2 linked regions of the Canis lupus familiaris genome follow. The protein of the gene in region 1 interacts with the protein of each later gene in a pairwise test. Links are inferred from orthologs where the notes say so. Each region holds a gene or a part of one and is shown in the gene's direction. Other genes may lie near its edges.

Region 1 (4,354 bases):
CATGCAGTTGATGCTCAATAAATGCTTGGTGAAAGAACAACTCATTTTCCTAATTTCAATGGCTTATTTTCTCTATAGAATCAGATGTTCGGTTATTCTCATCTCAGCACTATTTTGTTGGCTTCCAGGGAGCACACTACCATTAGATACGTTCTGTTCTCTTTAATTGGAAAGAGCTTTTGGAACTGAAAAATAGGAGTTACTTCTTCAAGCCTCATCTGCTGCTCCCCCGTTCTCACCCGCCTCACACAGGAATCGAACAACTTAGCATCGCACAGAACACGACTCTCTCTCACGCCTCCGTTCCTTTGTACAGGCATGCGGTTCCCTTCGCCCGAAGCGCCTTTCCCCGACAGCTCCGTCTAGTGAACTCCTACTCGTCCTCCAAGACTCAGCTCAGACATCATCATCACCTTCTCTGGGAGGCTATTCTGAGATGGGCAGAGTAGCAGTTCTCCCTCCCATCTTTTTAGCTTCCTCAGCATTCTCCCAAATAATTCTAACATTGCATATGGCATTTTTTTGTTTTCTTCCGCTCCTCTAATTTTTTAAAAGATTTTACTTATTCAAGATTTTATTTATTCAATTCATTTTTAAGATTTTATTTATTCAAGATTTGATTTATTCAATTCATTTTTTAAGATTTTATTTATTCATTTATTCATTTATTATTCATAAGATTTCATTTATTCATTATTATTCACACACAGAGGCAGAAACATAGGCAGAGAGAGAAGCAGGCTCCATGCAGGGAGCCCAATGTGGGATTCGGTTCAGGGACTCAAGGATGACGACCTGAGCCAAAGAAAGATGCTCAACCGCTGAGCCAGCCAAGCCTCCCTCTCCGGCTCCTGTAGACCGCGATTTCCTCGATTTCCTCGAGGGCCGAGATACCTGTTCATCATTGTACCTCTTTACCCAACACCTGTATACCTATACCTATGCCTAGGATTAGCACACATCAGGCACTTGATTAGACCCATGAGCGAAGAATATGTTCATTCGTCTAACAGTGCGGTTTGGACCGAATTCTCAAGCATTTCAAAAGCTGGTCCTCTATTTGGAGCGCTTCAGGATAGAGGGAGATTCCGACATCCCCCGGCAAAATCCTCGGTTTGATGGCAGGAAAAGGGAAGTGATTAGGCTGTGATGAAGAGTTGCTCCTTCAGGGCTCAGCTGTCATCTACCCTCCTTGGCACAGAGAGGGTTACAGCGACCCAGAGGCGGGGCCACGTGGGTGCCACCTGCTCCGGGGCGGTCTGGCGCAGGCGCCCTGGCGTCTAGACGGCGGCTACCTGCGGGGCCCCGGCCGAGGAGGAGCGCGTGCGCTCTGGGCCTTTTCCGCCGGGGGAAGTCTCGCGGGGGCGGGGCGAGGCGGGACGGGGCGGGGCCGCGCGGGGAAGTTCTCGCGGGACCCCGACGAGGAGCGGAAGCCAGGCGGCTGTGTTGCTGCTGCTAGCGAGCGAGCGGGCGGCGGCGGCGGCGGCTGCGACGAAGACTGAAGCGGCGACGGCGGCGGGAGCAGGCGCTGCCCTCGGGGAGCAGCAGCGCGGTCCGCGGCCGCTCGCACCGCTGCAGACGGGTCGGCCGGGCGCGGAGCGGAGCTGCTGCGCCACGGTGAGTACGGGCGGCGGCGGCGGCGGCGGCGGCGGCGGCGCTGCTGCTGCTCCGGTGCTGCTGCTCCCCTGCTCGGCAGCGGGAGGTGGCCCGCGAGGACCGGGCCCGGTCTACCGAGGGCTGCCAGGGTTGGGGATCAGGGTCGGGGCGACGAGGCCTGGCGCGGAGAACGGAGTCCCCCGGGCTCCGTATTTCCCTTTTTGGGGCGCTTCCTTCCTGGGGACCGTCCTTCCCTTAGCTTAGCTCGGGGCAGGAGGCCGGGTGCGCCTCTTTAAGTTTCACGCTTTCTCGGGGGACGGCTTGCGCAGAGGGGCCCGGGAGAACCCCGGGAGCCCTGGGTACTCATTCTGTGAGTCAGTCTGACTCGGCCCGGCCCGGGAGGCGGGGGATTCGCCGCGGCTGCAAGTGTGGTGATTGATGCTCTTGCGACCTGCACGGCCACCACGTCACCATCTCCCGGTGTCTTTGGGCCAGAATTTGGGGAGGGAGCCCACCGACCCTATGAATACCGTGATTTAGAACTTTTGCTGCCGGAGCCAGCTGAGATGTCTAGTTTTTTTGTTTTTGTTTTTTTGAAACTACACTGAAAAATACTTGTAAAGAACAATAAGCAGCAGTTGGTTGGAAATGCTCCGAGGAAAGGTTTCTGTGCAAGAGGATAAGGAAGGCACTGGTATTTTTCATTTGCATCGCTCTCCATATACGCCCCGTGAGTTAACAGCTCGTTTAGGGAGTTCTTCCAAAAGGTACGATTTGCAGAGGAGCCGAAGTGCACTCGACCTGTGTCTTTTGGTACTGTTGACTCAGAAAAGAGCCCAAAAGACACATGAAAGAAGATAGCATATCTCTTTGGCTTTCCTGTCTCTCTCTCTCACTTTATACTTCTCCAGTAGTTGCCTTCCCTTTCTACCTACTTGTCTCCATTTTCACTGGGGACACTAAGTGTTTGCTTGTGTAATGCAAGTCATTTGCTCATCCCTCCCCCCCTTCTTCTAATCTACTTCCCCTTCCTCCTTTTTGTCCCCTCTTTGGCATAATTTTTCAAGGTTTCTGCCCTTTGGTGCAGTTTGTCTTCTCCCTCATTTAAAGATTCCGTTTTCTCTCCGGGGAAGATACCCTTTTTCCTGCTTTATCCTTCACTTTGAAGCGTCCACTGTGTTCCTTCAGTCAGCCAGAAGAGTTGCCAGAGAGCCTTGGGAGACTTTAAGTTCTCCCCCTGGGAACTGGGAGGCTCAAAGGATTGAATTCATCCGTAAGTAATCAATACTGCCACTAGGTCACAAGTGTAGCTTGCTTGTGTTATTTGTGTTTTAGTTGTTCTCTTCATTTTAACATTGTGCTTTTGTGCCTGCTTACACTTTTCTTCCTATGTCTCTTTTATACTAGTAAGGAAGATTGGGTCAATTTGGGGTTTGTAGGACTTCTTTTTCGGCTTTTAGTGGGAGTGGTGTGTGTTAGAAAATGAAAACCAACCTTAGACCTATGTTACAGTAGAATTAAGATAACATTAAATATTTAAGGGAATAGAATTTCTTTAGATCACTGATGAATTAAAACTTGCCCATTGGGCAGCCCCGGTGGCGCAGCGGTTTAGCGCTGCCTGCAGCCCAGGGCGTGATCCTGGTAGACCTGGGATCGAGTTCCACATCGGGCTCCCTGCATGGAGCCTGCTTCTCCTCTGCCTGTGTCTCTGCCTCTCTCTCTCTCTCTCTCTCGCTCTGTGTCTCTCATGAATAAATAAAATAAAATATTTAAAAAAAAAAACAACTTGCCCATTGTGGCAATTGGATTCTTTACCAGGGTTCTTCTAATGGGGCATCGTTGTTACTGTTCTTGGGGTTTTTTCGATATAAATAACTGTTTCATTACTCCTTCCTTTGTCCAAAATTTTCTGAATTCCCAAAATAAAAACCGAAGTTAATTCTTGTAATTGGCTTTCTTTGATACTAAAAGCAAGCATTTAAGTGCTTGAGGCAGTTTACTCCCTTAGCAAGTGTATTCAGATTTGAGGGATTGCTGGGTTTTAAATACTACTAGTTGATGGTACTTAGCAGTTTTTTTGAGAAATTGCTGTTATGTTGCCTGTTGTGCAGCAGCAGTTCTGATTGTTGCCTAGAACAAAATAATAATAGATTTTGGAGAAATTAATACAGAATAGAGATGTACCATGCTCTCCTGAGAGAAATTAATAGTTCCTTGCTTAGTTCAAAAGACTTTCCTAGCACTACTGAAAGGCTATTGAGAGCCCTTGGTTTTATTTGTTAAAGTTGGCTTTTTCCTAGTTGAGCCAAGTGAATGTGCATTACTTTTATTTTATGCAAAGACATTGTAGTGCATTATCTGGAATGCAAAGTTTGAAATCTGGTTAAGGCATTCTACTAGTACAGCAGTGATTCTTAAAATTTAGCATGCTTAAGAATTACCTGTGAATCTGGGATGCCTGGGTGGCTCAGGAGGTTGAGCATCTGCCTTTGGCTCAGGGCGTGATCCCGGGGTTCTGGGATCGAGTCCCACATCAGGCTCCCTGCTACGAGCCTGCTTCTCTCTCTGCCTGTGTCTCTGCCTCTTTCTCTCTCATGAATAAATAAATAAAATCTTAAAAAAAAAAAAAAAAGAATTACCTGTGAATCTTATTTTAAATTAGGCTCTGGGGCTAAGGCCACTACATTGCAAAACTCCAGAAGGCATCCCACAGTGAATCAGTGTCTGAATGAGACTATTTTGATGCAGCTGGTCC
Region 2 (3,650 bases), on another chromosome or scaffold:
GATCGCTCGGTGGCTCAGTAGTTTAGCGCTTGCCTTCTGCCCAGGGCATAATCCTGGAGTCCTGGGATCGAGTCCCGCCTGCATCAGGCTTCCTGCATGGAGTCTGCTTCTCCCTATGCATATGTCTCTGCCTCTCTCTCTCTCTCTCTCTCTCTCCCCTCCTCCTCCCCTCCCCCCGTCTCTCATGAATAAATAAAATCTTTTATAAAAAAAAGGTAATGGAGCTAGAACTCAAACAGTATTTATTCAATTACTTGCTGAGGAAAGGGAATCATTGCTGAATGGTTTTCAGACTGTTCTTGGAATATAAGAAAATTTTATCACAAAATTTCTAGTAAGGTAGTTTAAAATCATGAAATTTAAGTTTTTAACAATTTTCAGAAGGTAAAAAATTTTCAGAAATAAGTGGTTGTAGGTTTTCCATATTCTTGCATGAATGTATTTATATTGTATCTATGTAATCTGTATGTAATATCTCTGTGATGCTCCACTGTTAACTTCTAACAAATTGAAACATTGGAGCATCATCCAATCTAAATTACTTATTATAAGGTAAATTTTCTTTCACGTTGAGAGTAAGATACAAGAGAAACCTTTGGATAAATCCAGTAAAACCAGAGTTGTTAGAATTAATAATGTAATTTATAAGCCTTATTTCTAAGAGCTGATGAGAGAACATTAACTTTCATGGTTTCTTGTTATTTACTACAATGGTTGAATTTTATGTTGTAAAAAATATCAGCTGAATTTCACAGATGCTATTTGCAGAAAAGTTTATAATGGATTGGGTGCTAAAGTTAGCATACTTGGTTATATTGTATAACAGATATGGAGGCTTTTAGGCATTTCTGAAACTTAAGAACTTAATCATTAGAGAATATGAAATAATTTCTGTGTTTATCTTATAGTTACTAACAAAAGCAACTTGTAAGCTTCATGTTTTGCTATTTTAAACTATTTCTATATATCTGGAAAATGTCCAAATGGTTTTCACAGTTGCTTTTTTTCTTTATTATTCTGGCAGTAGTGATCTATATTTGTATTATATTTACGTATGTAGAAAGAGAGTTGGTTTTGAAAGATCAGATATACATAATTAAATAAAATTATTGCTGGTTTTATTAAGTATATTTAAATTTTGAGTTTATAATAGTTGTTGCTGTTTCCTCTAACTACAAAAAAGGAAAAGAATTGAACAATACAGGTTTAATTTTTGTTTGTTTTTCTTAGCAATTGAAAGCATGTAGTGAAGAGCAGGAAGACAGAGAATGTTTGAACCAAGCTATTACAGCTCTTATGAATCTCCAGGGTAGCATGGACCGAATTTATAAGCAGTATTCACCTAGACGCCGACCTGGGTAATTCCAAACTGTTGAAAATATGAATGTTTCTGCATACTTCATTTATTATTGTAGTTATACTTGCATTCTTCAGAGTTATACTTTTGTTTTACATTTTTCTTTTGGTCTCTTAGTTGCAGAAAATTGGCACTGTCTTATTGTTAAGATATATTTAATAAAATTTTAAAAGATATAACTAATAGTTTTGTACATGTTATATAAGAAATTTAGGATTCTTTGTAATTTTAGTTAGTATGGCATTTGGAATGAAATGCAGAGTTTCTCTAGTACTTCTCTTTCACAATAATGAAATTGACACATGTATCAGTTGTGGCAAAGTTAGTAGAAGATAGTAAATGCTATGTGCAAAATCTAGTGTTTGGTTATTTAATATTTTCTCACTTGATTTGAGGTGGTTTACACTTAAAGAAATTTGGGTTGCTCAGTCATTGAAAAAGCTAAATTTATCTTTTTTTTTTTTTAGGGATCCTGTTTGCCCTTTTTATAATCGTCAATTAAGAAGCAAGCATCTAGCTATTAAAAAAATGAATGAAATTCAGAAAAACATAGATGGGTGGGAAGGCAAAGATATTGGACAGTGTTGTAATGAATTCATTATGGAAGGTCCATTGACACGAATTGGTGCTAAACATGAACGACATATTTTTCTCTTTGATGGCTTAATGATTAGCTGTAAGCCCAATCATAGCCAGTCACGCCTTCCAGGTTACAGTAATGCAGAATACAGATTAAAAGAAAAATTTATCATGAGGAAGACACAGATATGTGATAAAGAAGATACTTGTGAGTGCAAACACGCTTTTGAGTTGATATCCAAAGATGAAAACAGCATAATATTTGCTGCTAAATCGGCTGAAGAGAAAAATAATTGGATGGCCGCACTTATTTCTCTTCACTATCGTAGTACACTAGATCGAATGCTAGATTCAGTGTTATTGAAAGAAGAAAATGAGCAACCATTGAGATTACCAAGTCCTGAAGTATATCGTTTTGTGGTAAAAGACTCTGAGGAAAACATTGTTTTTGAAGACAACTTGCAAAGTAGAAGTGGAATTCCCATTATTAAAGGAGGAACTGTGGTGAAATTAATTGAAAGATTAACATATCATATGTATGCAGGTATGTGAAACTCATTCCAAGTGCTTACTTACCTAGGGCTGAGAATCTAAAAACCTTCTCAGGGTTATTCAAAAATGCTTGAGGCACAGAAAAAATGGATTGCCTCTGAAATACAAAAAGAATTCTGTAGAATCAAAAGGAATAAATAAGTAATTAAATGTCACTATAATATTGTTGACTTCATTAATTAGTAAATATTCATTAAAAATTGTATGAATCTTGAATCAGAAAACAATCCGCTTTAATCAAGTAATACAATGATTGACGGGAACGCTCTGGTGGGAGGAACCAGAATAAAGAGAAAAAGGAAGGAAGGCCTCCAAAATATGCTACTTTGAATTAAAGAAACTGAATAAATTGAACATACAACTTGTTTTATACTCTCTTTTCAGATCCCAATTTTGTTCGTACTTTTCTTACTACATACCGTTCATTTTGTAAACCACAGGAATTGCTAAGCTTACTGATTGAACGGTAAGAAAAATATTTACTTTACTTACATTAACGTTTCATAAAAAGTTAACTATTTTGTTCCTTGCAAAGTGGTGGGTACTAGTATGTACTCAACTAGTTTTTGAACATAATTTACTTGGCATTAAATTAATAGTATTACTGTTCTCTTCAATAAAACTATTTCCTTAAAAGAGACTTTTTTACTTGTCACTTTTAAACAGACTTTTTATTAAGGAAACTTTCAAAACATAGAAGAGTATAGTAAACCATCATCCAACTTCAGTAATTATCAATCCATGTTTCAGCTGTTTCCCCACTGTCTTCAACACCCTAACCCTGGGACTATTTTGAAGTAAATCCTAGACAACATATTTCATCTGTAAATATTTTCATTTGTATTTCCAAAAGATAAGTATTCTTATTAAAAACACAATCACAATCTCATTATTATACCTAAAAAAATTAACAGTTCCTTTTATTATGATTAGTTTTTAAAAATTAAGTTTTGAATTTTTCTTTTTTAGATAGCATCTGGGCTCCAAAGTAATTTTTGGTTCACATTTAAAAACTTAATACCAGAATTTTATCTTGACCTGTATCATTATGTTGTATTATGAATTAAAGTTCACCAGACTGAATTACTGTAATGTGCTATGAAGATCTACTTAGTTGTATTTCCATGTCCAAAATAAGGGAAGCATACTTCTTAGACTTATA

The links. The genes of interacting proteins can lie anywhere in the genome.
Region 2: the proteins of GRB2 (region 1) and SOS2 interact in binary tests that used the Homo sapiens proteins (3 or more experiments, as listed by UniProt). The link is inferred for Canis lupus familiaris from reciprocal best matches to the Homo sapiens genes GRB2 and SOS2.

The regions. Positions count from the first base shown.
Region 1 is NC_049230.1:5,987,125-5,991,478, forward strand, and holds the start of GRB2 (growth factor receptor-bound protein 2), read left to right. Parts: upstream 1-1,465; 5' UTR 1,466-1,617; intron 1,618-4,354. UniProt on the Homo sapiens protein: Non-enzymatic adapter protein that plays a pivotal role in precisely regulated signaling cascades from cell surface receptors to cellular responses, including signaling transduction and gene expression.
Region 2 is NC_049229.1:26,892,515-26,896,164, reverse strand, and holds part of SOS2 (son of sevenless homolog 2), read left to right. Parts: intron 1-1,230; coding exon 1,231-1,358; intron 1,359-1,824; coding exon 1,825-2,480; intron 2,481-2,872; coding exon 2,873-2,954; intron 2,955-3,650.